4 linked regions of the Lonchura striata genome follow. Each later gene encodes a partner of the first gene's protein in a complex. Links are inferred from orthologs where the notes say so. Each region holds a gene or a part of one and is shown in the gene's direction. Other genes may lie near its edges.

The links.
Region 2: the proteins of RPS6KA1 (region 1) and SNTG1 are in contact, whole or in part, in a crystal structure (PDB 7PC8), measured with the Homo sapiens proteins. The link is inferred for Lonchura striata from reciprocal best matches to the Homo sapiens genes RPS6KA1 and SNTG1. Residues at the interface, in NP_002944.2 of Homo sapiens: Arg728, Lys729, Leu730, Pro731, Thr733, Thr734, Leu735; in NP_001274742.1 of Homo sapiens: Gly67, Phe68, Gly69, Leu70, Ser71, Ile72, Lys73, Gly74, His78, Ile80, Ser85, His118, Glu119, Val122, Leu125, Arg126, Arg141.
Region 3: the proteins of RPS6KA1 (region 1) and S100B are in contact, whole or in part, in a crystal structure (PDB 5CSJ), measured with the Homo sapiens proteins. The link is inferred for Lonchura striata from reciprocal best matches to the Homo sapiens genes RPS6KA1 and S100B. Residues at the interface, in NP_002944.2 of Homo sapiens: Ala697, Met698, Ala699, Ala700, Thr701, Ser703; in NP_006263.1 of Homo sapiens: Ser42, His43, Phe44, Leu45, Glu46, Ile48, Val53, Val57, Ala84.
Region 4: the proteins of RPS6KA1 (region 1) and SNTG2 are in contact, whole or in part, in a crystal structure (PDB 7QQL), measured with the Homo sapiens proteins. The link is inferred for Lonchura striata from reciprocal best matches to the Homo sapiens genes RPS6KA1 and SNTG2. Residues at the interface, in NP_002944.2 of Homo sapiens: Pro731, Ser732, Thr733, Thr734, Leu735; in NP_061841.2 of Homo sapiens: Gly82, Gly83, Leu84, Gly85, Leu86, Ser87, Ile88, Lys89, Gly90, His94, Ser101, Lys102, Phe104, His134, Val138, Leu141, Arg142.

Annotation. Positions count from the first base shown.
Region 1 is NC_134628.1:279,875-287,554, reverse strand, and holds the start of RPS6KA1 (ribosomal protein S6 kinase alpha-1), read left to right. Parts: upstream 1-4,680; 5' UTR 4,681-4,727; coding exon 4,728-4,790; intron 4,791-7,680. UniProt on the Homo sapiens protein: Serine/threonine-protein kinase that acts downstream of ERK (MAPK1/ERK2 and MAPK3/ERK1) signaling and mediates mitogenic and stress-induced activation of the transcription factors CREB1, ETV1/ER81 and NR4A1/NUR77, regulates translation through RPS6 and EIF4B phosphorylation, and mediates cellular proliferation, survival, and differentiation by modulating mTOR signaling and repressing pro-apoptotic function of BAD and DAPK1.
Region 2 is NC_134603.1:41,399,878-41,407,711, reverse strand, and holds the start of SNTG1 (gamma-1-syntrophin), read left to right. Parts: upstream 1-4,824; 5' UTR 4,825-5,132; intron 5,133-7,834. UniProt on the Homo sapiens protein: Adapter protein that binds to and probably organizes the subcellular localization of a variety of proteins. May link various receptors to the actin cytoskeleton and the dystrophin glycoprotein complex.
Region 3 is NC_134610.1:33,263,896-33,271,824, reverse strand, and holds S100B (protein S100-B), read left to right. Parts: upstream 1-4,931; 5' UTR 4,932-5,007; intron 5,008-5,858; 5' UTR 5,859-5,873; coding exon 5,874-6,011; intron 6,012-6,475; coding exon 6,476-6,616; 3' UTR 6,617-7,415; downstream 7,416-7,929. Other genes in the region: LSS (lanosterol synthase), read right to left, coding at 1-38, 442-550, 629-707. UniProt on the Homo sapiens protein: Small zinc- and- and calcium-binding protein that is highly expressed in astrocytes and constitutes one of the most abundant soluble proteins in brain.
Region 4 is NC_134605.1:95,018,645-95,026,102, forward strand, and holds the start of SNTG2 (gamma-2-syntrophin), read left to right. Parts: upstream 1-4,458; 5' UTR 4,459-4,567; coding exon 4,568-4,639; intron 4,640-7,458. UniProt on the Homo sapiens protein: Adapter protein that binds to and probably organizes the subcellular localization of a variety of proteins. May link various receptors to the actin cytoskeleton and the dystrophin glycoprotein complex.

The DNA of each region.
Region 1 (7,680 bases):
ACCTCCCTAAGTCCCGAGTCTGTTTGTTTGGGGTTTTTTGGGATGCTGATGAGGGACAGATAGATTTTCTTTTTCCAGGGAATCAGGTTTCTGCCATCAGTGAAGCTGTTGTGCCTTTTGTTCCGTTCCCAACAAGGAACCCATTGAGCATTCTTTGGATGTATCTCCTACCTGGCCCTGAAGCCAACTGAGTCATGGCTGTGCTCTGCACTGCCTGGAGCAGGTATAAAATACAGAAACAATTGTTATTAGGAGAGACCTGTTTCTCTCTCCCTAAATGCTGAAGGCACCTCTTTCCCCACCTCTCCAAAAGCTCATGCTTGTGTTAAGCCTTCCTACCTGATCCAATCAGTCATTAGGCCAAAATATTCCTGGCCAGGATCACTTCTCATCTTTTATAAGTATATTTTTATGGTTATTTTGGGATGTGGCTTTTCAAGGCTGGCTGTGTGCAGTGGTCTCTGTTTAGTAAGGGGACTGAGAAGTGAAATGCTGCCAGTCATATATTGATCTGAAATCAGACATAAAGTTTGGGGTCCCCCAAAGGAAAATCGGTTTCTGTGGTGTTTGGGCTTCTCGTCAGGATTTCTGAAATTTGCTTCCAAGCCTAAAATGTTTTCTTTTCTTTTTGCTGTGGAGTGATGGCATCCCAAACTCCAGGATGGGGTAATTAGGAGCAGGTATCTGTGAGTGCCTCCTGCAAAGCAGGACCAGACTTGTTCAGCTGCAGGATGTCAGCTCCAGACCGCAAACCCTGGAATGACATTTTCCTCTCCCTGGAGCTGGAATTCTGTTGAAATGTGCTTTTGTTTTCTCCTCCCCTCTCTGGAGAAAGTGGGACCTGTGTGCTCTGGAAGCAGCACAAAACCGAGGGTATCTTTTTGTATCCACTTAAAAGCCCCATCATTTGTTTACAAGTTCTTAAACCTAAAAGAACCATAAACCCTGACTGTACTTGGTGCTGTGTTTACTCAAGTTTCTCCCTCCTGGGGGACAGTGCAAACAGCCCTGGCAACTTCAGTTCTGTTTACAGTTTCTGATAGTTTTCTCTTTCATGCTTTCACTCCCTCACATAGCCCTACACTGAAATAAGCTAGAAACATAGCTGTGTGCTCATTAAAAACTAAATTTGATGGATAACTTGCTCTAAATAACTTCCCACCTGGGCTGCAGATCTGTTCTAAAAATTAAATTAGAAAAGGTGAGGAAATGCTTGTATTTTACATGGGGTTTTGAAAAAGCCTTTTTCAGGTAGGTAAAGGAATATTTTACAAAAGAAATTCTGTGTGAGGGTGGGCAGGCCCTGGCACAGGGTGCCCAGAGCAGCTGTGGCTGCCCCTGGATCCCTGGCGGTGCCCAAGGCCAGGCTGGACATTGGGCTTGGGACAGTGGAAGGTGCCCCTGCCCATGGAATTGGATGAACTTTAATGTCCCTTTCAACCCAAAAAATTCCACGATTCCGGGTGCAGTTTGAGCCACAACCTCTCGATGTTTGGAGGCAGAACTGGTCCGTGCAGCCTGCAGAGCTCTGCTGGGTGCTGAGCACAGGGAGCACGGGCAGATCCCAGGTCCTCAGCAGTTCCTCGGGAACCCAAAAGGATGGACAGCTGTGAAACAGCTCCTCTGTGTCCCAGGAACAGCCAAAGCTTAGGCCAGAACCACATGGAATTGGGCAAAGCATTATGGACCGGCCGTGCATAGATTTAATTCCAAAAACCCAAGTCGCCTCCCACTCTCCCCCCACATGCTGTGAGGAGATGTGTGGGTTTCAAACAGATGTGCTCCTCCTTCTCTTCGGGTGCCAAGGGCTGCATCCTGCGCCGGAGCCACTCGCTGGTTGGCATCCAGGAAAGGGAAGGTGACTGATCCAGGAGCCGGGCAGCGATTGTGTCCATGACAACCGGCAGACACGGCCTCGCCGCCTCGCTCGGCTCCTTCCTTCCCCAGCGCCTTCCCCGGGCACATCCCGGCTCGCGGCTCCCTCGGCTGCATCCAGCATTCCTGAGAGAAAGGTGCAAAGCCCACAAACGAGGCACATTCCCTGGAGCCAGCAGCTCGGTCGGTTCTGCAGCAGAAATCCGGGGCTGGAGCTGTGTGCTTCACCGAGAGGCTCCGGAGCTGCGGATGGGGACGGGTGGATCCACTGAGATACCGCGCGGGACAGGGGGGCTTGGCAGACTGAGAGTCTGCGGGGCCGGCAGGCAAAATGCACTTTATTCTGACAAAAAAGAAATGGTTTAGATGTGCTGGATGCCTTCAGAAATGCATCTGAGCTGAGCAAGGGAACGTGGTGCTGACCTGTGCAGGAATGTCGGCCGAGGTTGGAGGTGTTTGCTCCACAGAGCCTCAGTCTGCACAATCCCTGTTCAGGGAGCAGGAACTGCCTGGGCTGTGCTTCCTCGAGAGCTCTGCATCCCACTGCCTGCTGTGGTGCAATTCCTGCATTCCGACCACTGCCTGGACCTGCCTTGGAAAACGCTGGCATTTGAGGCAGCTGCAATCACACCCAGCGTGGAGGAACAGAAAGAAATCTGTCAGAAAAGCAAAAAGCTCTTAGAGGCAGCCAGTTTTTCTCATTTCCAGGGCCCCTGCTTTGTATCTTCAACGTGGTTTTTACCACGCTACGGAAAAATGTTCCTGGGATCAAAACAAGGTGATCCATCATCTCATCCTCCATAGTGGCAAAACAAAGCAGAAGAGGCAAAGAAATGAGATGGTGAATGGAGAGCCAGGGATTAAAAGACAGGATGTGGAGTTCAGGTTCTGCCCTGACACTGAAAACCTGACTCAGTTTCCCTGTGAGGACAACAACGAGCTTTGGATCTGATTGGTCAATATTAAAAGTACAAAGAGGGTTGCTGCAAGCTCTAATTAATTGACTGTCTTAGCAAATTAGAAGAGTCTGTAAATTGTAGCAGATATTTGGGATTCAGCCTTGCAAGGAAGGTCTTGTGCCTGTGATCTTTTTTGCATTTCCTTGGGTGTGTAAAAGCAGCAGCCCACAAAGCAGGCAGGGGATGAGATGCCCATGCATTCAGAAAAAAAGAAAGGATGCAGTGAGCCATGGGAGCACTGGGTTACTGTGGCCATGGGGAGAATCACTTGGCCAGCTTTTGGAGCAGTCAGGCAAAATTGGATCTGGTAGTGATGATACAGATCAGTCTCCATCTGCTCTGGAAGTGCTTTGGGGGTGTCCTGGTTTCAGCTGGGATAGAGTTAATTTTCTTCTTAACTGGCTTAACAAATGTTGTCAGCGTTTCTGCAAAGGAAAAATGTTACACAGCCAGCCAGCTGCAGAGGCAAAAATATCTACAACTGTATTGGAGGAGGATTTGATGGTTTTAAAACCAAACTAAACCCGCAGCATTTTGAACTTCTAGCAGCACTGACAAAGCATCCAGCTGATCCCAAGTCTCTGTTTACCACAGCAGCAGCTCTTCCCAGCCTGCAACTGTCTCAGAAAAATGCCAGGCTGTATGTTTTAATCACTGTATTTAGCCATGACAGTCACCCAAACAGCAGATTTTGCTTTTTGCACCCTGCTTCCAGGATCAAGGATGCTTTTTATAGCTGTTCTTTGACTGGAAATAAATCCTGGGGGACACCGCTACCTCATTTCTCTTACCCTGACATCCTGGACTTAGCAGCAATTTCCTGTGGCACATTTCACCTTCTGTTAATCCAGCTTGGATTCAGCATTACCTGGAGCAGGAATGGAGGGAAGGTCAGTCTGAGAACTTCTGGCTTCTCTTGGGCTCCTGGAGCTGGCGATGGAGAGGCCGGAGCGTTTCCCCCCAGCATCACTGTGGTGTCACCACAACCTTTTTTGGGGTGTTATTTACTTTTGAGATACTGTAGAGCTACCTCAGCAAAATCCTCTCCTTTAACAAAAGTAGCTGCAGAGAATAATCACAAGTCATTTGTGGTCTCCCCAAAGTCTTTCATTTGCTGTTTTGCTAAAAGGAGTGGACAGGGTAATCTGGCAGTTTTATTTAGGTGAAGCTTCATGATTTCTGTCTTTGTCAAGTCCTGAGGCAGCATGTCTGTCTCTGTGTTATGAAATATGATGGATTTCCTGCATCCCAACCTGGCAGGGGTGGAAGCAGCAGCACTTCTGTCCCCATGCTCTCCATAGGCCTTGATCTGGATATTGCCCATGAACCTTTCACTGCGGCCTTCAAGAAGAAGACTTGATTTTCTACTGTAACTTTTCAACACTTCCAAAGTTATTTATTTGTAACTTAAAAAAAGCAATTGGTTGGACAGGAGGGGACAGCCGGGGGGGTCTCTGCTCCCAGAGAACAGGGACAGGAGGAGAAGGAATGGCCTCAGGCTGCCTCGGGGGAGGTTTAGGTTGGATATTGGGAAACATTCCTTCACCAAAAGGCTGGTCAGGCATTGAAACACGCTGCCCAGGTTGAGTCACCATCCCTCGAGGGATTTAAAGCCGCGTGGCTGTGGCACTGGCAGCGCGGGTTAGCGGTGGCCTGGGGCCGGGGGCATGGCGGGACTCGATGCTTCGCCGGGAGCTTTTCCAGCCCCGGCGATCCCGCGCTCCGACCCGCCGCACGCCGGGCTGGGCTTGCCGGATGCTCCGGGCGGGGGATCCCCGCAGCCCCTCCCCGGCGGCTCCCGCCCCCCGCCCCGCCCCGGCCCGGCCCGGAGCCGGTGCGTGCCCGGCCCGGCGGCGCTCGCAGCCAGCCCGGCGCGGGCAGCCGGCGGCAGCGATGCCGCTCGCCCAGCTGGCCGAGCCCTGGCCCGACATGGAGCTGGTGCATCTGGACACGGAGGTGAGCGGGGGGGCTCCGGGGCGGGGGGCTCCGCCGAACAAAGGAGCGCCCGGCGGGACCCGCGGAGCGGCGCGGGCCGAGCCGCGCCCGCGGCGGGGCAGCGCGGCCGCGGAGCCCGGCGCTGCGGGGCTCTGCTCGGGGCACCGCGGCTCGCTGCTGCCCGTGCGGCTCTGATCGTGCCGGGAGTGCAGGCAGCGCTCCCCAGTCTGCCGGGCACACGGCAAAGCGGAGCCGGCTGAAGGCCCGGGGAATAAAAATCTCAATTTTGGGGGTTTTCTCCCTCACCCTCCCAGCGCCGTCTTCTCGCAAAGGCCTGCGCCGCCAACTCCGACCACGCTCCGGTGTCACTTTGCTGGACTCTGCTCTTCCCTCCCCTTTGGCTCTTTTCCTCCTTACTGAGACCCCCAAGCCAGATGTGCAGGATGGAGCTCATCCCCTGTCCACATCTGCAGGCTGGCACAGCCATTTCTGACGGAAGGGACAGCTTGCAGCAGTTGTCACCCATGGCAGAGCAGTTGTGCTCTGTGCTCTGGCACTCTTCAGTTAAACGTATTCTCACTCAAACTGGAACCAGCAGCTCTCCCGGAGAAACCAGAGGGAAGGTGGGGGTTTGGTCCCAGGTGTTTCACAGACCCTGGTGCTTTCCTGTCGTTCTCTCTGGATTTCATGCTGTCACACTCCGTTATCATACCTGGGGATATCTCCGTGGTTAATTGGTCAGATTTGCTCATTCCTGTTTAAAATTGCCTCTTCAGAGGTCTGTGCTTTGAGCAGCGGCAGCGCTCCCGCCCCCGCTGCAGGGAGGCACTGGCCATTGAGGTGAGGTTTCCGAATTTTCATCAGCCAGCTATGGCACAGCTTCTGCAGCCCCCGTGAGGTGGGCAGGCTCTGCCTGGGCTCAACACCTGGCACGAAGGTGGCTGAAGAGCCTCTGCTCTGGAGCACCGGCGGAGCCGTGAGGAGGAGTTTGTGCTCCAGGCTGGGAGAGGAGGGAAATCCTGCGGCGATTCCCAAATCGCGTCATGTCCCCGAGCCAGGCCGTGGGTTATTGCTGCGAGTCGGGGCTTTTTATTTGTGGTTTCTCCTTCCTAAGAAGAGAGATGCCTGAAAAGCCAGGAAACGCCACTCGGCTCATAATGGGAGGAAACGAGTGCGGGTGCCCAGGGCAGGGGAAGCCGCGGGCGAGGCTCCATTCAGTGCCTAATCCCGGTGTCCCGGTGTCCCGGTGCCGGCGGGCGCCGTGTCAGCGCCACGGGATCGCTCCGAGCGGAAACGGCCGGGGGACCGGGCGGCAGGCACCGATCTCCCCATCGCAGGAGCGGCTGCGCTGCTCGGAAGCCGAGAGCGGAGGGAGCCTCTGGCTCTCCCTGCCCCGTCTCACCTTGGCGCAGCTCCGGGGCAGGGCCGGGCGCCACGCGCGGGTGGGATTGCAGCGGATCAGGTGTTTTGCGTCTCGGGAGCTCGAGTGGCACTTAGCAATTTGCCTCTCTTTGGTTTAAAATGATGAGTACACGCTCTTAATTCCAGCGAGGAATATAATACAGGTGTTCTTCACCTCCACACCTGGTCAGACGTTAGAGAGCTGCCTGAGGTCCTGCAGCAGAGCGGGAATGGGGCTTGGGAGGAGTGTTGCACTTTGAGGCTATAATCGCCAAGGGCAGGGGCCCAAGGGGGAAGTTTTCACCCCTCCTGGGAGAGGTGGCACCACTGAGAAAGCAAGGAGACGTTTCTGGAACACTGGTTACGTAAATTGCCCTGGGATCGCTGCCATCCAGGTTAGAAACCGGCTTCCTCCGACCTTTGCTTTCTGAGTCATGGAGCAGAGGTGCTGTCACCGTGCTGCTGGAGGCATCAGTCCTTTTGTTGAGGGATTTGGGGTTTTTCCACTATGTTCCAGGAGAATTGGCCGTGTGGTGCCCCTTGTCCCGGCCCACCAGAGCTCAGCCATGCCAGGGAAACGCGTGGGAGTGGGTGGCAATGGGAGCCTGAACTGCTCCCTGACAGGAGCCAACTCCCTCTGTCCTGGACTCTGGGCTTTACAATCACTGCTCCTGCTTTTATTCCCCTTGCCATTCTCTCTTCTGCTTATATTATTCCAAATATTGGTTATTGTAGCAGAAAAACGTGGCTGGGGCAGAGTACAAAAGCTGGAGAATGGAGTTGAGTGACGCAGAAATCCTTCCCTGGGAGGGTGGGCAGCCCTGGCACAGGTGCCCAGAGCAGCTGGGGCTGCCCTGGATCCCTGGCAGTGCCCAGGGCCAGGCTGGACAGGGCCTGGAGCAGCCTGGGACAGTGGGAGGTGTCCCTGCCATGGCAGGGGGAATGAGGTGGGCTTTAAGGTCCTTTCCATCCCAAACCATCCTGTGTTTCTTTGATTCCATGACTTCATCCCCATAGTGGTGGATCTGTCATCAGGGCTCCGCTTTGCTTCAAATTCTTCTTTCATTACACAAACCTACAACAATGCAACTGACGTGGGATTACGCCAAGCTCCACCACTTCAAGCTAATTATTTTTGCCTGTATATACGTATCACCCTTTATTGAGCAGGAGCTATTAATGAATAACTCTTTTCTCAAGCATGGTAGCTCGAGTTGTGCAAACTACGATCAAGAGACAAGGGAGACAGCTGAGTGGCTGTCATCCCTGATATGCCTTGTGCAGAGCCTCCTCTGTTTGGGCACTGGAGTTCCTTTGGAGATCTCTATTCTTGTAGAATTATTTCCTTTCTCCAAACTGTAGTAGGCAAGATCCATAAATTCTACTTAATGGTAATAATTTAAACATGCCTTGTTCTTGTGTCAAACTAGCAGGAGCTCTGGGGTGAAGGGTTTCTCCCTCTGCTCCTTCCTTGAGTGCTTCATGGCTCATCAGAGTTGGGTGGAAGAGC
Region 2 (7,834 bases), on another chromosome or scaffold:
TTTTGTTTTCTTATGAAGACTCATAAATCCTACAGAATGTACATTAGTTATTTTCAAATTATATTTTTATGAGTTATTTTTCTTCCAAATGTAAAAAAAAAACCCAAACATTTTCAAACTTTGCAATGTGTACAATTAATTTTTAAATGCACATAGGGGAATTCTATCTCCTTTTGTTGAAGAAATAGGATAATTGTGAGAAAGCAAATATAATTGTTTTTTGTTGAGAATGAAACAGAAAAATATAATCAATAATTTTCTTAGGTCATACTGTTTATAGCCCATGATGTTTTACTTGTCTCTTTTGATTTGTAATAGTTTATTTTAATAAATTAATTACTAAGGCAAATAATGCTAATAATTTCCTTGAGAGTAGTTACAATCCTTTGTTAAAATTTTATCCAAATTATCTTCTCTGTTAAAAATACCCATTAATGAGATGCAAGCCATTTATAGACTACCATAAATAATAACAGTACTGATTATGATATACAGGCTGCATGTATAATTTAGGATTAAGGAATGATATTAAGACTATGAATTTCCCAGTGTCGCTTGAGATTCTCTGCTGTTAGGTTTCAAGCTGTATGGTTTTAAATTTTTCAAGCCTTTAGATGATTTTAAAAGCCCAGAATTTCAAAGTAAAAATTTGCGCAGAATTTATGGAATTGCTACTATCCTGTTTACATGAGAAAAGAGGAATTTTAATGTATAACTATATTTAGTTACAATTTGAACAAACCCCCATGTCTCTCTTTGGGCCCATGTGAGTGAGAGTTTTAAGTGGACTGACAAGAGTTCTTGAGAAAGAAGTCACGGCAGCAAGGAATTTTATGGAATATAGCTGCAGAATATTTTGGCCACCTACAGACTGTAGAAGACTATTTTGGTCTCCATCAGTTCCCCAGTCATATTTTCAGATTACAAGCCATGGTGACAAATGACACATTATTTTATATAAGGGTGCCTGATACTCGTAAATGGAGTATTTTTGTGAAGCTTAGTTTAGACTAAATGGGGAAAAAAGAGGGAATATACTCACATATTTTTTGACATAGTTGTGTGGATTATTATCAGTCTGTGAATGGAAGTTAAAACCAAAATTATATCATCAGGAATTGGGAATGTGCTCTTCATGTGCACCTTGATACACAAAATACCAAGGAGCTTATCGATGACCTTGTGATCCACTTTCTATAAAGTGTGACACCTGTCCTTGATGGTGTTACATTTGTTACTCTGACTGCTCTCTTTTCCAAAAGTGGATATTGAAAATAGATTAATTCTATTCTCACAGAACCAATTAATAACCTATCAGCCATGATGTGTTCCCAGAGGTGGTAGGACACGCTACGGGAATGGAAAATCTAATGCTGCAGTGATGTTGGACAAAAACCACTCTCTATTTCCCAAAGCATTTAAACATCTTTCTCATACATTCATGTTACTTGGCCACTACAACTGGTAGTTTCTTTTCCCATGCACTTTTTCAAAGCTGAGTTCTCTGCCCTTTATTTCCCAGCATTTTCAGAGGGAGGCTTATGTGTGACAGACACATGCATAAGGGTTTGGCTGCCAAATGCCAGAAGCCCTGCCCACACTCAAAGTGAGCTATACATTCAGAAAAAAAAAATGGATGCTGTAGTCATTTATGAAACAGAAAAGAAGAAAAATGATCTTTTGCAGATAGGTAGTCAATACAGTTTTACCAAGAGTGTCACTCGCTTGCTTGGTGGGTAAAATTCTTCCTTTCATTCTCATATTTTTTAAGTAATGACAATTTTTCTTCATGCTTAGCCTCCATTTCTTCCATTTTTAATGCTTCTCATCCTTTGTCACTCCATCCTTGTTGGTGACTTGAGTGGTGCCAGGCTGCTGAAGCTGAAGAATCTAAAACAGATGCCAATCTACCATCATCTTATTACGTGAAATTTCTTAATTAACATATTCCATACTACATAAAAACAATTCTGGCTCACCTCTCTGACTATAAATGTTGCTTCATGTTGTTGACTACATCTTAAATTTACCTGACATCTGATTTCTGTATACGTAAAAATCTTATTTTGTGTTTGTTCTGCCTGAAGCAAAAATACAACATGAATGTAACATGAATGTAATTGTGTGTAAAACTGGAATGCACATTTATTTCACACAATGTGGTTGATAATGATAAAAAATACTGCACACTTTTTTCACCTGGTTTGGTAGACTTCATCTTCAGCATATTCTTAGTGGTAATGAAACTTGCAACCTATATGTATTTTAATAAATATCAATATGTTTTTAATAAATATTAATATATTTTAAAATAGTTTGAAAGATACTGCACTAAAATAGAACAGCTTCCTCTTGTGAAATGAAATTTCCTTTCTTGCTTGAGCTATCCACTTTACATTATCACACAAAGAATGAAGTGGGAGGTCTCCATGAAAAATGACAGCTCTTCCTACAGATGGGGGAACAGGATATGTATTGATTCTATAATCAATAGGTGACTCTGATAGCGAAAACTGAGGACGTTGTCCCTGTTGAAATTTGAGTATGGGACTGACTCTAGACAAAGCAACTAAAAGGTAATAAAATATTTTTTGTTTCTACTTTGTTTATAAATTTCTTTCTTGGGTGTTGACTTTCCCAGCAGGGCATGAATTCCACTTCACTTCTGTCTTTGATAAGTTTTTAGTTCATTACATTTCATTTATTTAAATTCTCAGACATGATTTTCAATCATCCCAGTCCTCATATATGTACCATTTTAATAATTTATTTTTTCAGTCTTGTCAGAAGAACTATCAGTTCAAACTATTCAATCTTTCAGTAGGACAAATAGCTTGGTTAGTTTGTAGCTATCAAGAACTGTTGGTATCAATTCAATACTAGTAAACAAGGAAAGATAAAGATCTGTATCTCAAGATGACAAGTACATGAAGTACAGATCTGTTCAATTAGGCATGAAACTTATCAATGCATTTTCTAAGGCACTTATCAACCCAACATTTAGCTTTATTCTTCGGAGCAACTCTCTTAGCTTTGCATTTAGCTTGCATTAAGCTGTCTGTTTAAATCTTTTCCCCCCTCAATAGCTCACTGCACATTATTGAAGGTAATATTTATAAAAGGAGTGCATAAGGAACAGAAACATTTTTGTTTCTGCCAACTTGGTTGAAGAAAAGCCCTTAACTGTGAGATGCCCGTGAAAACCACTTTTCATTAGAAGAAGCCTACAGAAGTTGAAGGGAAAAGGACTATCGGAGAAGCTACGGAACAGCAAAGCTCAATCTCCTTTCTAGCGAACTTTTAATTGTGACACCCTCCCAGACATCCTCAGCCTAACTAGAGAGAAACATTCCCAAGAGCTAGAAGGGGCCCCAGAGCATGCGGGTGAGACCACTGCTGCTCCACTCACTCTCAGTTTGGCAAAAGCCCCACGAGGGCCGGGCTCTCCCCGACACCAAGGAGGCGCAGAGGCTCCGCGGGATTCCCTGCCCGCAGCTCTCCGCAGCGCCGGCGGGCGGCGAGCCCGGCTGCCGGCATCGCCGCGGGAGCCCGCGGCCAGCGCGGCGCCGAGAGGCGGCTCCGGTGGCGGCTCCCCTCGGGCTCTCTCCTGCTGCTTTTCCCCGCCGCCTTCATTCTCCTCCTGCCTTCACCGTGGCAGGTCGACTTCTGGCGGCCCCATCCGCGGGGAGATGCGGTTTCCCCGCGGCGGCCGCCTATGCGTATGGGGGTGTGTTCATGCATGTACATACATATCTATGTTTTATATATATGGGTGTGCCTGTGTAAGTGACTGATAGCTGCGTTAGAGCGTGTCATTGCAGCGCTGTCCGACGGCGAGGGCCATCCATGCCTGCGGGGGATCTCCGGCCGGGCACCGTGCGCGCTGCTGGAAGCACGAGCGTGCGGAACGGGAGAGCGAGGATCACGCAGGGCTTTCGCGAGGCACAGGGCAGCTTGTCCCTCACCCCTTTTGCACCCTTTGGGCCCCCTCCTTGTCCGAGGCAGCCCGGAAGAGCGGCGCTGGCTGTGCGCCGGTGGCGGTGGTCGCCGCAGAGCCGTGCTCTGGGTTAGAGGCTGGGAGACGGGGCGCGGAGAAGGCAGCGCCGGTGCCGCGCCAAGCCAGCCAGGCAAAGTAATAGAACCGGCACCAAATTTCTTCCCTACATGGGGGATCGATGTACAGTCCCTCTGGCGAGCGGCCAGCCGAAACCCTGTCACACAGCTGGCAGAAAGGGCAGCCAAGGCAGCTGAACTAAAGAGGAGGTTGAGTGAGGAAAGAGGGGGAGCCGATAACTTTCCTGCCGGGCACGGGGTGAGCGGCCAGCCGCAGCTCCCTAGGACCGGGGAGAGCTCCGCGGGCTCCGGGCGAGCGGGCTCTCCCGCAGCCCAGGAGACACCGCCTCCCCCGGGCGCTCGGCAGCTCCGCCGCCGCGCCCGGGACCGCTCTGTCCCTGCGCGCCGGTGGTCCAGCTCACCCTCCCGCTGCCCGTGGGAAGCGGCTCCCGCTTCGCCGCCCGCTCGCCCCTCTCCGGCACGGGGGCCGGCCCGGGGGAGGGCTGCGCGTCACCGGATCTGCTGGCGCCGGCAGCGGGGCGGCGTTACGGAGCGCCCCGGGAGCGGCGGGGGGGCGGGCGGGGGTCCCGGGCGGGGCCGGCATCGCCGCGCCTGGCTGCGGCCGCGGTGGCGGCGCCGCGCCGCCTCGCCTCCCCTCGCCTGGCCGCGCCTCGCCTGGCCGCTCGCCGCCGCGAGGGGCGGCGCTGCTCCCCGCACGCCCCCGCCCGGCGCCCCCGCTCCGTCTCCGGGAAGGGCGCGGGGAGCCCCTCGCTCCCCCCCAGCGCGGCGGAGTTCGAGCCGGTGCGGCGGCGGCCGGGCTGCGATGCCCTGTTAGCCGGCGGCCCGCCCCGAGGTAGCGCCGGCGGGCAGGAGCGCGAGTTGCCGGAGCTGTGGCTGACACCATGGGCACCGGGCGGGGGGGAGAGGCGGCCGGGCTCCCTGCGCTCCTCGGCTGAGCCCGGGGATGTGCCGGCGCCCGGAGGAATTATTTTGGAACTAGCACGGAGCGGTGGGAGGAGGACGAGCGGCACAGCGTTTCTCAGCTGCGAGGAGGTCGTCCGGCGGTGCTGTATAGGCAAGTAAGCTCTTGCTTCCTTTTCGCTGCGTTTCCTTCGTCTCGAGTGACTTTTTTTTTGCAGCTGCTGATCGGTTGCTGCCAGTTTCGAGGCCGGATGGTCGGCGGCGCCAGCATCAGTTCTCGGGGGTTGAGGTGCGGGGGGGATTGGTGGCCGGGATTGCAGGGGAGCCCCGCTCCAACTCCGCCGGAGTCCGCCGCGGGCGGACCGCTGGTGCGGTGCTCCGGTGCATAGCCGGGAAAGAAGCTCCGTGTCCCAACGCTTCCCACTTCTGCAACTGAAAGAGATGATGCCTTTTCCCAGGCATTTCATAATGTAAAATGCTTTCTCCTCTTTGCTGAACTCTAACTAAATTGTAGGAGCCCCTTAATTGCTTTTCACCCGTGCTTCTTGTGGGAGAGAGGCAAGAAGCATGTTAGCCTTACATACGCACTTATGGATTCAGATAGTGAGTTTTGATTTTTATGCCCTTAACTTTCTTGTGCCCTGCCTGGTGTTCTTCCTTGAGATGCTCTTGCTGTGAGGTTATGGTTCGTCCAGTCTTGTTTGTTTGCTTTTAGCCTGTGGATATTTATTGCTACACTTGACATGGCAATGAAGGGAAAAGTTGACTGTAATTTATTTCAGTGTATGGAGGACAGGTTGCAGGCAGGGGACTAATTCAGAGGAACTCCACTTCAAAGGGAGAGGCCCATGGGGCTGTAATCTGTAGCTAAAAACTCGGAGAGCTCAGAACAGACCGGTCACACTGCAAAGAACGAGTTCTATTCACCTTTCAGCAGTGATAGCGTTCCCGAACCTGTGAATAGACCTGACTGAAATGCAGGAAACAGAGATGTGAATTCTGGGCAGGTTTGGGAGAAGGCAGAACTTTAAACACTGCTTATTTAAGTTTGCTCTTACTGATTTCCTCAGTGTCTTCTCTATGAGCCTGAAAACTGCAATCTGTTACAGTGACCTTGATGCATGTTGTATTCTAACAGGAAAGCAGCACAGAATAAAAGTATTTACACATATTTACAGCTAAGCTCTGATGTTTCACTAGGAGCTCATTCAGTTTCAGTGAATGTGGTAGTTTCAGCAGGGGCACTGGGCATGGTGTGTGTGTAGGAAATAACTTGGGAAAATAACTTGCTAATAGTGATGAAAGTAAAAGTTGAAGTGTTGGAAACGTATGCTTCTGCAGAAATGCCACTGTGTGTGAAAGGTCTATTAAGTTGTGGATATTTTGTTTTCTAATCAGTGAGATCTGTACTGAAAGGAGTGTGTGGGTGTGTGTGGAAATCTCAAGGCTTCCCAAGTTAATGCACTTTGAGTTGTCAGCAGCAAGAGATCTTTTTACACACTGAAATACACATTTTTACGTAGATGCAAGATTGACATCATAAGATTAAAAAATGTTGGGATGTCAGTATGGTGAACATGTAGCTAACTCAGGTTTATAGCTGAAAGATAAATGAATCCTTTCCCATAATGGTGGAAGATGTTCTGACTGAAGGGAGTGTCATTTGTTTCAGTGCAGATTATGGAGAATGCTCCTATAGTTTGTTCATATTTCTGCCTCTCTGATGAAGCTGTGAAACACAATTGGAATAACTGCTGCTAGACAGTGGGATGCAAACCTATCCATTACTTAAAACACTCAGCTTATTCTGCCTCATTTCAAAAAAAAGTATAGTTTCTGGCAAAGTCTGCCTATGGTTTTGTTGTAGTAATTCCTTCCTCTGTTGCAGAGTGGCAGGCTTTCACTAGGCATGTGCAAGGGAGAACATGAAACACTGAAGCATGCACTAATCTGGAATTCATTTGGGCTATGTATTACATTCGAGGTTTCCACAGTTAGCATAAGTGCTTATGCCTGATTATATGAATAAACGGGGCTTAAAAATTGTATTAGTCACTTGTGATGCATATTGCAGACTCCTCTTCTTCCTTTTTAGTCTTTCAAACTAATCTAATGCTATACTCACTCTTTGCCTGAGGAGGAAGAAAATATAATTTAATATTTTATCATTTGGCTTTTGCCGTGTCTTGTCCCATAGCTATGAGGTAATCGAATGAAGGTCCCCATCACTGAATTAAAGGACATGGTGCTCTAGACTTTCACTTACAGTCAAATTTTCCCTCTTTTACATGGCTAAAGAATCGAGTTTTAACAAGATCTGAGAAAAAAAAAAATGTTGCTTTTCTGTTAGAAACTCGAAAAGAAAGGGGAAGGTAAGACTTGAGGTCTTTAAAGACATCATTAAAAATATCCACTTTTAAGATATTAATTAACCTTATTTACCTTCACACGTTTTCCTTATATTTTACATGGTACTTGTCAGAAAGCCTTCCTGGATATTGATACTTTAGTTTACATTGTGTGTAGTTCTTAATTTTAAAAATTCAGGAGTGGCCATCACACACTTCACTGTAAGGCTATTCTAGAATCCTGTTTAATGTTCTGTATCCCACTTGGCTTGTATCTTTTGAATCTGAGATTTCCATATTTAACTTTATAGTATGCATTTTTGTTTTAATTCTATATAAATCTTTTTACTAGAGAAGATTGTTGACTTTGATTCAGAAATTTCAGGGCAAACTCAGAAGTTATTTTTCTTTCCTCTTTTTTTTTTTTTTTTTTTTTTTTTTTTTTGTGTGTGTGTGTTTTCTCAGTCATGCTTTTTGGGCATAGCTTTCATGAGCTGGCAGGAAATCCTGTT
Region 3 (7,929 bases), on another chromosome or scaffold:
GGGCTGTGCCAAACACTGTTGATTTATCTTCCACGTGTCTGTCAGGAGCATACACAGAAACACCACATCCATTAGTCAGCTATTGCCATTAGCCAGACATAAGCTACTGCACAAGGCTGTCTTAGTTAGGGTGAAGTGGGATGCTAGGGGTGACTTTGGAAAAGAGGGACCTGACTAATACAGGAACAAACATTGCTCTGTGCTATCCTGTCACACATGATGCTTTGGGAAATAGTGCCCCAGAGAAGATGTAGCCAGACTTGATGCTATGGACGCCTCTGTGACAAACAGTGTACGTGGAGTGCTGCGCAAGCAAGTCCAACCACCCACAGCTATCACAGGTAGCGAGTCCCCCTCCCTGAGCCTGGGCAGACCTGACAGCAGCTCCAAGTTCTACACCTTGGAGCTACCATCACTCAAAGAAGCATCTTTGGTACTCACAAGCCCCAGCCTCCGTCCGGGAGCTGCACAGAGCGCAGGTAGCGTACCATCTCCTTCCGGAACCCCTCGGGCAGCTGGATTTTGGCCGTGTGGCAGGTGATGAGGAGACCTGGAGGACCAGAGAGGCCGGCACTGTAGAGAGCCGAACCCCAGGGCACCCACTCCTGGGAGGGGTGTCCAGGTCTACCTGGCAGCAGGAACAGCGGCCCGCCGTAGTCGCCCGCCCAGTGCCCATCCTCGGCCTGCAGCGCTGCGTAGAACCGCATCCCGTTGCGGGCCGCCTCCCGGGCCGAGCCGGCCGCCGGCAGCGGCTGCAGCGTCGCGCCCTGTGGGGAGACAGGGGCAGCTCAGCGCTGCGCCCCGGGCACGGCCCCGCCGCCCCGGCCCGGGCCCCCCGCACCGTGTCCAGCCCGAGGCTGTGCTGCTCCAGCGCCGTCTGCGCTCGCCGCTCCCCGGCATCGCCTTCGCCATCGCCCAGGTAGCGCCAGAGCTGCCGCCCGCCCTCGCAGCGCAGCCGCCAGTCCGGCAGCTCCGTGGCCGCCGCCGAGCGCCAAGGGCCGCCGCGCCGCCGAACCGCCCTGCCGGACACGGGCACCGTGAGCCGCGGCCGCCACCGCCGGGACCCACACACCGCCCCCGCTCTCCATCGCGCCGCCGGCACTCACACGCCGTCCGCCGCCATCGCCGCCCCGACCCCGCCGCCGGCTGGTCCCACATCGCCTCACGGGCGGCAGCCAATGGCGGCGCCCGGCCCGCCCCGTCTCCTCCCGGCCCGGCCCGCCCCGTCTCCTCCCGGCCCGCCCCATCTCCTCCCGCCCGCCCCATCTCCGCCCGGCCCGCCCCGTCTCCTCCCGGCCCTCCCGTCACGGGACAGCCCCGGCAAGCTGCTGGGGCTGCGCCCCTCCGTCGCACATCTGCCCCTGGCACAGGAGTGCCATCCCTTCCACAGACGCCGACAGCCGAGCTGTCCCTTTGGGTGACAGCGCCAGCCCCTAGAGCGACTGTATCCCCCTCCGTGCACCCCCAAAGTCCAGGCGTGCGGTTTCCGTCGTTAATGGAAGTAACAAAACAACTCCGGCCCAGCCTGGTGCCCAGCTCATGTGGGCCACGAGGGACTGGGGAGATGTGTCGGGGTGCAGTGCCAGCCCTGGCACAGCGCACCCTGACCCGCGTGTGCCCACGCTAAACTGGAAGAAAAGCCGTTCCATGTCTGTGCACTGCCCAGAGACAAAAGAGCTACTCACAAATGTTGCACCCATCAACACCCCAGGACAGAAAAATGCCTGTCTATTAATACTTACATATCATTAATACTTACAGTATATAATGCACACTATGAGCTTAATTCAAAATACTCCTCTTCTAGCAAACAGGTCTTCACTCACATCCAAAATAACATCAGGGATTATCTGCAAAGGATGCAATGATTTTATTTGATAATTAAATAATTAATATTGTATTTATTTCATAAACTAGGATTAGGTCACTCAGTTCAGCCCTGGCTGTGTTCAGTAAGAGCAAAATGTTTTTTGGATAGTGCTGGACTTTTCCTGGAGGGAGAATGAATGGGGATAATACATTTGACTTGTGTATCATCCCACTGGTCCTCAGCAGGGAGAGCTGTGCTGCTTCTCTAGCAGTTTATATGAACAGAGAGAACTAGAAGTTCACTGACATGGTTGTTCTATTTGAGGCTTAATAGTCTGTTTATTTTTGGTTTAAAAAAAAAAAAACCTGTCATAATGACTCTGCCCGAAACGAGTTTAATGAAAGTATCCACTTGTCCATGGATGCCAAAATCTTAAGATAATTTATGGTAATATTTGCCTAAGGGGAGTGATGGAGGATGAACAACTTAGTTTTACTTTTCTGTCTCTATACAACCCACCTGCACCAAAAATTTTTAATAATTGCCAAATTCCTGTTATTTAGACCTTGTTTTCATCCACGTTTTTCTGTGTCTGAACCTCATCTGGATTCTGCCAGGAGGTAGCTCACCTCTGGCTGCTGTGTTTGTAGGTGCCAGGGAACCTGCTCCCTGCAAAGCTGCTGTGTGTGCTGGCACTGTGAGTGCAGCCCTGCAGAGGCACAGGCAATTTCTTCACCCTCCCACCCAAATTCCTCTGCTTTCATTACTTTTTTTGTCCCAGTTCAATGACCACTGGCATTTGTCTCATGGTCTGGCAGAGCCTGGCGCCACACACACCCGAGAGACAAAGAAATAGGCTGTCTTTTCTCCTGGTATGAGGAGCCCACATTGTGAGGAGACAGGCAGAGGGCTGAAGTGTTTTGCTCAGCTTTGGGCACTGAAAAACCCTCTTGCTTCTTTAAACACATCAGCCCAAAACTCTGGCGAGGAAGCTCTGACCCTGAGGAAAGAAGCCCCAAGGTTGCACCTGCCTATTCGAAGATCAGAACATGAATTTTAGAATAACAGAAGCTACTCTTTGGGCAGCAGTGAAAGCACCACTCACAGCCCCATACTCATATCCAGACCTCCTGGACTGTCCCAGGCTGGGTTAGGGATGATCCAGGCCAGGAAAACAGCCTTTACAAAGGATATTAGGCCAGATAAAAATCAGGAAAGTCTCTTGGAGCTGCTCATTAGCAGAAGTAGAAGAGGGTCAAGGTTTCTGGTGTTCACATCTGATCCTGCTGCTCCTTCCCACCCTATCAGGACATAATTCCAGATCATCACCTGTAAAATATAGAAGTCGGAATGATTTGGGGAGAAATGGCAGCAAGAATCACCAGGAAAGAGAATTTTAAGATTGTTCAAGTTTTGATCTGTCAAATGCTACTTTTTCTGTTCCATTTTAAGGAAAGGTCACTTTACAGAATGACATCAGAATATGGTTTAAGGAGATGATCTAGGACCTTGTCTCTGACTAGAAAAGGTTTGCTTTAATGCATTTCTTGGCTGAGGACTGAGCTAGAGATCTACCGGATCAAATTTCTATCAACAGAAAAATGCTGTCTCTTTCCTGCTGACAGAGAGCCCCATTTATAGCCAGCTCTTACAGGAATGCAAGTACTCCTGGAAAAAATCAAATAGTGCAAAAATTGCTGACAAAATACCTCCACACTAGAAACACCACTACCTAAAAGCATCCCTGCTGTCCCTGCTAGCCCCACCAGAGCACAGATAACTGTTGTCGTTTGCAATACCCTAAATGCAAGAATTTCAGTGGTCATGTAAATATTTAGTCAACAAATTCAACCTTAATGCTGGAGAAATTATTTTTCCCCAAATCAATTTGAGCCTGTTAGAAAAACTTTTATGAACTGATGTAAGGAAATTATCAATGTAGATGTTTTTGGGAGATTTTTTTTGGGGGGGTTGTTGTTGTTGTTGTTTTGGGGTTTTTTTGATTGTTGGTTTTTTTTTTTCAAGTAACAAAGTCAGTGTCATAGATCAGTAGATTTGGGAAAACTGCCAGGGAATATGTCTGTCCAGCAACAGGGTTTATATAAAAGTGCATTTAATGCCAGTTCATGGTGGCTGCTGGGGCTGGCAGGGGACTTCTGAACAAGTTTTATATCAAGATCCCATTTAAAAGTAAATAAAGAATTTAGGTTTGAGATAACTTTTTAAAGTTTCTAAAAAGACATTTTTTTTTCCTAGTGTGAATCAGTATACAAACAATAACTCATATTTTTCTGAGTTCTGCATGTTGATTTACACATCCCTTCACAGAATTGGTTCAAAACATTTGCAGTTTCACCTGTCTCTGGTGTTAGGTGGCTATTTCTTTAATATTTCAATATTTATTGAACAATACACACAAAAAAGTATAAGTTTTATGCTCACACTGACTGCAAAATGTATGCTTTCACTCCCATGGTATAAATGGCTTTGCACAAGAAGCAAGGCTTTCAGTTTGACAAAGCATTTTATTGGTGGTATGTTTGGTGAAGCAGAGCGAATTGAAATAACCTTATTTTCCCTGTCTGGCCTGACTCTACAATCTTAAAACAGTAGAAAGCAGAAAAAGGGTGTTCAATATTAATAGTGTGCTCCCAATGACCTGTAGTAAACATAGATGTACAAAGAATTGCTATTTTTGCATACTCACTGTTCAGAGCAGAACAGAGCATTCACATCTTTGAATCGCAAGCTTGATTCACATTCTGTGCATTGAAAGACCGATCTAATGAACAGAGAGTAGGCATTCTATATTTGAAAAATATGAACAAATAAATGGCACCATAATAGATTTATTTGTAATGTGTAACAACTGGGTCTAGGGATAATCTCCAAGTGCTTCTTTAAACAAAAAAAAGCTTACTGCAATACATTTTGAAACCGGATATATCCCTATATACGTGTCACTTAGAAAAATTGGCTGATTGCAACTATGCCCCTTACCCCTTCAGAAAACAAAGCGGGCGGCTTTGCAGCAGGCGGGCGGCTCCGCGGGGCGGGCGGGCGGCTCCGCGGGGCGGGCGGCTCCGCGGGGCGGGCGCAGCGCCCCGCCCCTGCCCCGCGGCCATAAGAAGCGGCGGGTCCCCGCGGCGCCCGGCCACGCCGCATCGCCGTGCCGCAGCCCCGCCGGCCGCGGGGAGGTGAGAGGGGCCGCGGGACGCCGGGTGGGTGTCGGCAGGGCAGAACCACCGCTCCACGTACCTCCGATCTGGAGCGCTGCTCAACCTTGCGGACGGCAAGCAGGCAGGGCTGGAGCATGAAAAGGGGATTTTTGTTCGGGTATTTGCTGCCGTGTCTGGTAACTGCTAAGTGGGGGAGGACATCGGCTGTGGGATCAGACTCAGAAGCGTGTGGTGGAGAAACAGTAGCCAGGTCGCAGGGCAGGAGATATTTACCGATGGGATATGAACGAAATGAGTGCCAGGCAATAGGGCTTCTTTATTTTCCCGGCTTTTGGGAAGGTGGGTTGGCAGCTCTCCCTCTTTGATCAGTGTCTCTTTGGTTTGCCCGTTTGTGAAATCTGCAGGGAACGCTGCAATCTGAATTGCTATCATATCCCAAGAGGGTCTTCAGATCAAATATGGGAGAGTGACGTGCTCATTTTGACCTGCTGGCAGTCATCAAAACTGGTTCCTACCGGGTTCCCCTGACTGCTGGGCTGGAGACAGGTCTGCAGGCAGAGGCAAGGCGAGGGGACCTGTGACAGCAGGGACAGCAAAACCATTCTGAAGCCCCAGAGCAGACCCCATGCCTTCTCCTCTCCTGTCTTGTGGCTCTGCTGTTTTCGAGAGCCCCTAGCAGCAGAGTTATGGTCTCTTGTGACCTTCCCCCCGAAGCCAGGGCTGCTGCCAGAGCTTCCCAGCTCTCCCTTGAACGAGGGTCTGACCTTGCTGATCCACGGGCGGAGCCCCAGGGTGGCCGTGCTTCCAAATCCATCGGAATTGCTGGAGCTTGCCCAGGCTGGCGCTCCCAGCGTCCCCTCTGACCGCAGGGCCACGCCACGACCATGTCCGAGCTGGAGAAGGCGATGATCGCCATCATCGATGCCTTCCACCAGTACTCCGGGAAGGAGGGAGACAAGCACAAGCTGAAGAAATCGGAGCTGAAGGAGCTCATCAACAACGAGCTGACCCATTTCCTCGGGGTAAGTACTGCCCTCCCCACAGCCTGGCTGGGCTCAGGGGCCATCCAACAGCCCCTGCACTCCCCTAACTCTGTCTCCCACGGGAAGCCTGCACAGGCAAAGACATTTATTTACACAGCAGGGCATTGAATCCTTTGTCCCAGCTCTACAGAGCAGCAAGATGAGGGGAACAGCCTATATGACAGACTGAGGTGTGGGCTGGACTAGGAAAACTACCTTCCCTGACACGGGGGACAGCCTTGCCCCAAGGGGTTCAAGATGTCACTTCCCAGCACAACAGCTGTAGCTGCAATTCCCTGGGGCACAGGACAACGCCCCACATAGACTGGGAACATCCACAAAATATCTGGGATGTGTCTGAACAGAGATTCAGCCATGAGAGCACTTGGGAAATGGGCACACATTACTGTCTGGGCCTCGCTGTGGTCCTCCTCAGCTTTGGCTGCCTGTTTCTATCCCTTCAGGAAATCAAAGACCAGGAGACTGTGGACAAAGTCATGGAGGCACTGGACTGCGATGGGGATGCAGAGTGCGACTTCCAGGAGTTCGTGGCCTTTATTGCAATGGTCACTGCTGCTTGCCATGAGTTCTTTGAGCATGAGTGAACTGGTGGGAAGCAGGTGAGCCCCTTCTGCTCATGCTGGAGAGAGGCAAGGCAGCATTGCTCCTCCGGGAGAAGGACTGGCTGTGATTACAGACACCTTAGAGTTCAGCTTGCACTAGACTTAAGCAGCTTATTAAAAGTGTTGTGGCTTTGTGAACAAAACCCACTTGTGTGGCTCAGGAAAGGCTATTTATTGGCTAGTGCCCATTGGGCTGGATGCAGTGAGAGAGTGCCTTGCCTCAAGCTCCTTCCCTGCTGTTTTAAGTCAGGAATTTGCATGGGCTAGAAGCAGAGGGATGCTGTGATCCAAGCTTGTGTGCAAAGGAAAAAAAGGAAATTCAAGGGTTGAAGGAAGAGATGATGCAGAGGGGCTGGTTTTGGAAACTTGCTGCCCAGCCCACTGGCCTGAATGGGAAAGCTCCCAGTGACTCCTGTGAGCTCTAGGCATGGCATCAGAAACCAGCTCCTGTCCCATCACAGGTGCTCAGCAGAGCCCACCTATTTCTTGGTACATTGAGACACCCTTGGCTTGCAAGGCAAAGCGTAACAATCTAAAAGCATAACCATCTGACAGCTCAGGCTTTTCACTTATTGATCAACCCTGCTTTTAGCAGCCAGCAGAACTGGAAGCAACAGCATATGAGGCTCCTGCACTGGGGTCAGCTCCTGGGCCTGGGATATGCCTTGACAAGGTGTCCAGGCTCAATCAGAGGGGAAGTGGGAGTGGCCCAGTGTGACCTCAGACCAGGCACAGCCTCCTGAGTGTGTGGAAATGACAAGGAATAAAACATTGGTTTGGCCTCTGGTGAAAAACGTGTCCTTTTGTGCCAGGCTGCTCTGCACTGAGAGAGAAAGGCTGGGGGATAAGGCCTGAAGCACTGCTACAGCTCATCCCCCTGAGGTTCTTGTTGGGCATTGACCCCTCATCTCTTCCCTGGTGTCACTGTAACTGGCCAGACAACCCAGGATTGTCACCAGCACTGTGTTCCAGCTGGCTGCCCATTCTGCCAGGTCTTCGGGGACATAGGGACAAGGGCCCTCTGCAGGATGTGACTGCTGCTACCAGGGTCATCCAGGGGTTTGCAGTGGTGAGCCCTTGCAAAGGCTCAGCTAAACCCAGGACAACCCCCAAAAAGCCTATGCTTCTGCCTCTCCAGTCTGCACCTGCCATCCAGCTCAGCAATACCTGGCAGCTGGGCCTTCCTGGCCTGCAGCACCAACAGTGGCAGATGCACAGCTAAGATGCTCTCAGATGGTACTGGTTTTACCTCATTCCACATACTAGAATGATTTTATGCACAAAATGACATCTTT
Region 4 (7,458 bases), on another chromosome or scaffold:
TCCTCATCAGGATAGACAGCAGTTTCCTTGGGACATCTGGCATTTTTATAATTCCTTACCTACAATTTCCAAGTCAAAAACTTATTTTTCTAGTTGTTTGCCTCTAGCTGAATTCCAGACACTCATCAAAAGCCAATCTCTCATTTTCCTTTGCAGCTGAACAGGGGAGAGATAATATTAAAAAAAAAAAAGTTAATTGGTTGAGATAAGGACAGGGAGACATCACTACCAAATACTGTCATAGGCAAAACAGATGCCAATTACACATATTAAGTTTATTACTAACAAAATCAAAGCAGAATAATGTAAAGTAAAATAAGACCTTAAAAACACCTTCTCCTGACCCATCCCTTTTTCCCAGCTCTATCTCCTCCCCACAGCAGTGCAGGGATATGGGAATGGGGGTTCTAGTCATTTTATTACCATTGTTTCTCCTCTCTCCACAGGTCTGCAGGACTCTGCTCCAGCATGGGCCTCCCACAGGGTCCCAGCCTCCTCCAGGCATCCCCCTGCTCTGGTGTGGGGCCCCTCCATGGGCTGCAGGATCTCTGCATCCCTGTGGATCCCCACGGGCTGCAGGGGCAGGGCACAGCTGCCTCACCATGGGCTGCACCACGGGCTGCAGGGGAATCTCAGCTCTGGTGCCTGGAGCATCTCCTGCCCCTCCTTCTGCACTGACCCTGGTGTCTGCAGAGCCTCTGAGAGTTCCTCTCATGTTCTCATCCCACTCTGCTCTGGCCACAATTACACCAGCACAATCACTTTTCTTTTTCTTCTTCTTAACTGTTATCTCATAGGCATTACCAGCAGTTCTAATTGGCCCAGCCTTGGCCAGGGGCACATCCCTCTGGAGCTGTCTGGCATTGGCTCTGCTGGACACTGAGGAAGCTTCTGGCAGCTGCTCACGAAAACCAACCTTGCAGTCACCCTACCAAAGCTTGGCCATGCTAACCCAATATACTTTAAAAAGTTTTCTTTGCTTCCCTATATCTTCCCACAACAGAAAATTAAGTGGCAGAGCATTTATTTTGTTAGTAAAATATTAGGTGTAATTAGATGTAATGAAGTTCACAAAGCAATTAAGTTTTACAAAAGGCCTCCTTCCTGATTAATACAGAAAATATTAACATCTAAAAACTAAAATGACATCTGCAAATCTTGGAGTTTGTATTAAGACAACAAATGGAATTCAGTAGCTTTGTGAATGTTCTTGTATTGACAGAGTTATGTTTTAATGTCTGCATACCTAAGTTTCCTGGAAAATTAAATTATACTCTTTCATTCACTTTTCTAGAAGAAGTCTTTAACCTTGACATCTTAGTAAAATAAATTATTTATTGTTTTAGTGCCAATAGTCTTCTGCTTCCACTCTCTAAGTCAGGAATCATCTGTGTGTATGTATGCTTGTATGTGCAAATGCAAAGCATGTCTATGAAAACAGAAAGAAATAAAACCCGGTCATAATATGATACCTTCCAGAGTCAGCAGTTTGCATCTGTCTTCATGCATGCTGATTTTATTCAAACCTTTTCACAATTTTCAATTTTCCTGTTGTGAGGCAAGTCAGATCTGAATGAAACTTCTTGGCAATTGTCTAATGTAACACCCCAAAATAATGAGTTTGGCTTAAAGCCATCTTATTGAAAACATTCTGCATTGTTTTGAACTGCCGTCTCTTTGCATGATTACTTTCTTGATGATTTGTAGATTTTTATGATAATTTCAAAAATTTACCTTATTTCAAATTATGGGATTTAATGTAATCCAGAAAAACAAAAACTCTCATCACTAAAATAGCTATGTGACAGGTAGCTTCCATTTACTTTATTTCAGAAATGGCAAAAGCAAAAAGTTTTGCAGGTTCAGAGATGCAGTAAAACTGAAAAAGTACAAAAAGAAGACAGGGAAGAATGCACACATGTTTTCAACTAGTAGCAAACTGGACAAAACATCAACTCCTAAAGAAGCTCATAGGTTTCTTAAGCTACTAAACCTGATCACCCCTTGAAATAAAGCATTAGATGAGGCCATCTCAAATTTGCTTAGCTCAAGTAAAAATATTTATTTTTTCCTAATCCTTTCACAAATTATATGTACCCACTCACATTCAGTACAGCAATACCATAGGAAAATATAATAATTCACTGAAGGGCATTTGTTAATTCCAAAAAGAAATTAACAATAATAGTTCCTTGGCTGTCGAATTCCAGAAATCATTTATGTAATTGTCATTGTTAAGATATGCCACTCAGGTAGTCACATATTGTGTACCAGGCTTCATTATATCAACTGACAAAGATTTTTACGTTTAAAAAATCACAGATTGTAGGTAAAGAGAAACATTCTAGAAAGTAAATTCATTCTATTTTACTTATCTCTGTCAGTAATTTCACATATATATTCCATGTACATTATCCTATACCTGCCATTTATTTTATATTTACACTAACTTGTATCTCCACTTTTTAATCCTCACTTTTATGCCATATTTATGAAGAAGATCCATGAGAAGCAATGCTGGATGAGGTAACAAGTTTGTAGTCACAGGAAACTATTATCCATACTGGCAAATACCTGCCAGGAGTGCTGCTGTTATTTGCTGGCTCTGGCAACTCCCATGGAGCAGTCCACCTTTGCTTGCTTTGGCTGTCTTTAGCCTCATACCTCTCACAGTGTCTGCATGCACCTAAGTCTGAATGGTCATGCAAGGCAGTGGCCCAGTCTCATCTCTTCCAACATTTCACGCTCTGGTGTGCTGTCATGCACTTTTCTACAGGCAGGGAGTGAGATAAATGCCTTTTTATGCACAGGATGGACCGGGGCAGATTGGCTTCAGTATGAACTCCAGCTCTTGAGCAGAATGGCATTGATTCCTTGCTGCATGTCAAACTCCACACCTCTGTGCATGGTAAAGAAAACAACTCAAGCACAGGTGGAGGGCCCTGAGCAGCACTGGAGAACAAATGAAATCCCATAATCCCACATAACTGCCCTCTTGTCCACCTCTTCCCTTCTTCTCCAGGGCTCTGGTATGTATGAAGATCAAACAGTCAACAGGGATGATGTCAGGTATCTTTTGACCAGGAAAACATGGCAAGAGAGGAATTCATTCTAGGGTAAAGTACAGCAGTGGCAACCAATATTTTTGTATAGATTTACCTCCAAGAGAAAGATTATGCATGTTTCTTTCTTGCTTTTCTCATGCGCTTTAGCAGGGGGAAAAAGCCCCAACTCTTAAAGTAACTTTATAAGAAGTCTAGCTAACTCCAGTCATACTTTTATTTTGTGTATGACAAAGGCAGAGGTGTCAAAAGAGAACAGAGATGCTTTTTCAAATTACATTTAGGTAAGAAAACAAAGTTATGCACATGAAGCACATATTTTTAAATCAAGTGATAGAAAAAATTAAGAGCTTTCCCTTCTCTCTCCTTAAGAGTCAAAATATACATCTACTAATAAAGTAGTTTGTTAAGGACCGGAAAGAACTTCTTTGCCTTGGGATCAGCTTCAACATTGCTACCACTGGACTGCAAGAAGCTCCCCCAAAACTAATAGTCTGGGCCATGGACCATGATCAGGAATTGGATGGAAGCTAAAGATGCACGGGAAAGCAAAATCTCATCACAATGTTTAGGACTGGGGGCTTTTCCTGGCCAAGTGCTACACAATGCCGAGGGTATCAAGAATACTCGACGGACGACAGGCTATTCTTGGTTTTGATTCAGAGATCAGCGAGCAGGGCTATGTGCGGCTGTCGCTTGTGATCCAACGCGAGGCGCAGCTGCCCGCTACGGGCGCGGACAAGGCGAGGGGGCTGCGCTCGGAGTGGCAGCGCCCTCACCCCGCCACGTCGCCCACCTTCCCCCGGCAGCAGCAGCGCCCCTGCCCCGCCGGGGGGACGCGGGAGGCCGGAGCCCCCGCCCGCCTTTGCCCCGCGGGGCGGCGCGGGCGGGCCGAGCGGAGCCGCGCGGTGTCGGGGAGGAGCGCGGCAGCGCTCGCAGGAGCACCCAGAGCTCGGCTGTCGGGATGAGGCCGCGGAGGGGAGGGGAGCGGGAGCAGAGGCACCTTCCCCCGGCGAAGAGCCAAGTTAAATAGCCAGCGCCACGCCGCCGCCTTCCTCTTCCCTCCCGGCTCCGAGCCCTCGGCGAACGCCCCCGTCCCACCCCGCCCCGCCCGGCCGCGGGCGGCGGAGGGCAGCGCGGAGCCCGCCTGCCCCGCGGACCCGCCTGCCCCCGGAGCCCGCCTGTCCCCGGAGCCCGCCTGCCCCCGGAGCCCGCCTGCCCGCGGACCCGCCTGCCCCCGGAGCCCGCCTGCCCCCGGAGCCCGCCTGCCCCGCGGACCCGCCTGCCCCCGGAGCCCGCCTGCCCCCGGAGCCCGCCTGCCCCGCGGACCCGCCTGCCCCCGGAGCCCGCCTGTCCGCGGACCCGCCTGCCCCGGACACCGCCTGCCCCCGGAGCCGGGACGCCGGCGCTGCCGGGAGGGGCGGGCGCTTGGGAGTCGGTGTTGGAGGCGCCGCGTCCCGCCGAGCCGCCCGACTGAGGGGACTACGCCAGCTGCATGGGAGGAGATGAGCGTGGCGGGGAAGAAGCCTCCTCCAGCACCGCTCGAGCGGCCCGGCAGCCTCCTCGTCCCCACCTGGGCAAGTACCGCTCTCCCTCGGCCCGTCCCGGTGCCAGCTCCCGCGGCGGGGCGGGGGTGGGGAGGGTCCCGCGGCGGCGCTGCCCGAAGAGCGGGAGGGAGGCGCCTGCGGGAGGCACGGCGAGCGGGGCGGCGCGGGCTCGGGATGCCGGCGGGGCTCGGGATGCCGGCGGGGCTCGGGATGCCGGCGGGGCTCTGCCGCGGCTGCCCGGGCGGGACGGCCGCACCCCGCCTCCCTCCGCAGCCGGGAGGCACCGGGGCCCGAGCGCGGCCGGGCGGGACGTGTCCCGGTTGATCCCGGTCGCGATTCTCAGCGCGCCGTGACAGGCTGCAGCGTGAGGGTCGAGCTCCCCGGGGACCGCCTTGCATCACTCAGCTTGAAACCCAGCTGCAAGCCTGAGATGATAAATTAAAAACAAAACAAAACAAAAAACCAAAGGTCAGCTACTTGGATGTATTTAGCATCTCATGCACTTTTAGGAGAAGCCCGTGAGGGAGTTAGAAAAAAACTTGCTACTTCACGGCAGCGTATTTGGCAAATCATTCATGAATGATGCCCTCTGACGGCGGTTCTCCGCTGTCCTGGTTTGTATAAAATGTAGTAAGTCTGTCCTGCAGACCTTTTAAAACCATTACAGACTCTGTGGTTTAACACGCCACTCTTCTTGGCATGTAAAGTTGTTTTGTCATTGCAATAGTTTTCGATCACCAGCTAAAAATTTATTCATTGTATTTATATAAAATATGTGCTGGTGCTAAAAAAACATTTTGGTGACCACAACCTTTCAATTTTTAAAAGAAAAATTGTATTTATCTTCCTGCTGTTTTATCCAGAGTGTTGTTTAGAAGGTACCTCAGTTGCATGAAAGCTGACTTAGAGACAGGTTCTCCCTTAGAGTGATTTGTAACTACTTCAAGCTTCTGTAATCATAAAAATGAAAGTAATATTTGGAAATTCAAATGTAGAAGAAAAGGGTAGAGGATACCTATAATCATAAGCATGTCTGGCAGTTGCACATAAATCTGTGGAAACAAACTGTTGTCTTGTCTGAGAAGCTTTCACAGCCTGTATTTGCATCTATCTTTTGACTGTGTGTGAGGAGATGCATAAATTTAACCTTTGAGGTTTTAGAATTTCTATAGTTCAAAAAGAAATAATGGAGTTAAACCTACTGTGTTTTAAAATTGTTTCACAGGTCTTAATTTGTAAGACCTGTTCAGGAACTGCAAAAATAATCTGTGCAGCAATTATCTAAAATGTTAACAGCTGAGTAGGTTGTATGGCAGTTCAGGATATTTCAGTGTTAAGGGTGAGGAATAATCCCTATCGTTAGGTGAAATTTATTACTGGTATTCTTCTAGTTGTGTCAAATGTGTATGTTTAAGACCAATAGGACATGCCATTTCTGCTGTTACTCATAGGACTGCTGCCTGGGACCAAACTAGGCATGGACCAATGGTGAACTGACCTCTTGGACAAGAGCAATAGGAACCAAAGGCATGTGACTACACAATGTACTTTGACCCTAAATGAGAAATAATGCTATGAATCTAAGGCTTTGGCAAGCTGTCTGTTTCTAACAAACAGACAAATTTAGTCTCACTTTCTTGGCTATTTCTAACAGAGGTATGTGATTGAAAGAAGGAATGAATAAATAGTAAAAAAGCCATTTAGACTCAAGTTCAACTGGGACATCTTATGGCAGATAATTGCTTGGCTCCCCAGATATGCCACGTACTGAACTTCTGAAGAAAATTATGCTCCAAAAGTATTGAAAAAAAAGAACTTGATTTATTATTCACGGAGTGACAAGTGCTTGACTTGCATCTTCTTAAGTTATTTAGCAGTATTGGAATCTAAACCTGTTTACTTTGTTAAAAGAAAAATGTGTATTTTAATGCCTGTGTATTGACTGTGTGCACATTTTTCTCAGAAATAAGATATGATAACAGTAGTTAGTGTTTAATAAATATTGCTTGCTGAGTCAAATTAATTGTTTGGGATTCTAGTAGCTAGACAATATTACTGCTAAAAGATAAGTGGGTTGTTTTTGTGTTTTTTTTCTCTTCAGAAGGATAACAGTTAAATACTACGCCCTGGAAAGTAACTCAGCATACTTCTAAATTAAAGACAATTATAGATTTGTAATACAATACTATTTTTTTTGCATGTATGTATCCATATGTATCTGTATCAATTATCTATAAACTTCTTGAAGTGCAGTTGTTTATGTTCAGTTCTATAGAATGAATTTTCAGTCAGACCTTGTCTTTAATGTTTTTCCAATCTCAGTGTAATGAAACACCTGTTTCATTCAGTACCAGACATAGATTCTTACTCATCCGATTTCAAAAATCAGTACATGTTTCCTCTATCTGTAGTGAACTTTTTGTTCTAATTTCTCATATAATCCTTTCCACCCTTTGCCCTTGGAAATACTCAAGGGGTCATATATCTTTGTAATTTTTACAATGTTAGAGTGCTTGTGCCATGTTCTTACATGGATTTTATGGTCTCATTGATCTAGTATGCATTAGTTACTGTGGTTTTCATTGTGTTGCTAGAAACTTGGAAGGAAATGATAATGTAAGAGGTACTTGTACTATTGATACTGCACGAAAGAAGAAATAAATGTACAGTTCATTGCTATGTAGAAATAGACCTTTTTTGGTTTTGGGTTTTTTTTTTAATAGGGACTATTATCTTAAACTTGGGCATATTATATGTAGAAGATCCAGTTTTCTAATAACTTCTATACACAACCAGAAAAACAGCAATAAGTAGGCTGTTCCTTTTTATAGCAGAAACCCAAAGATATA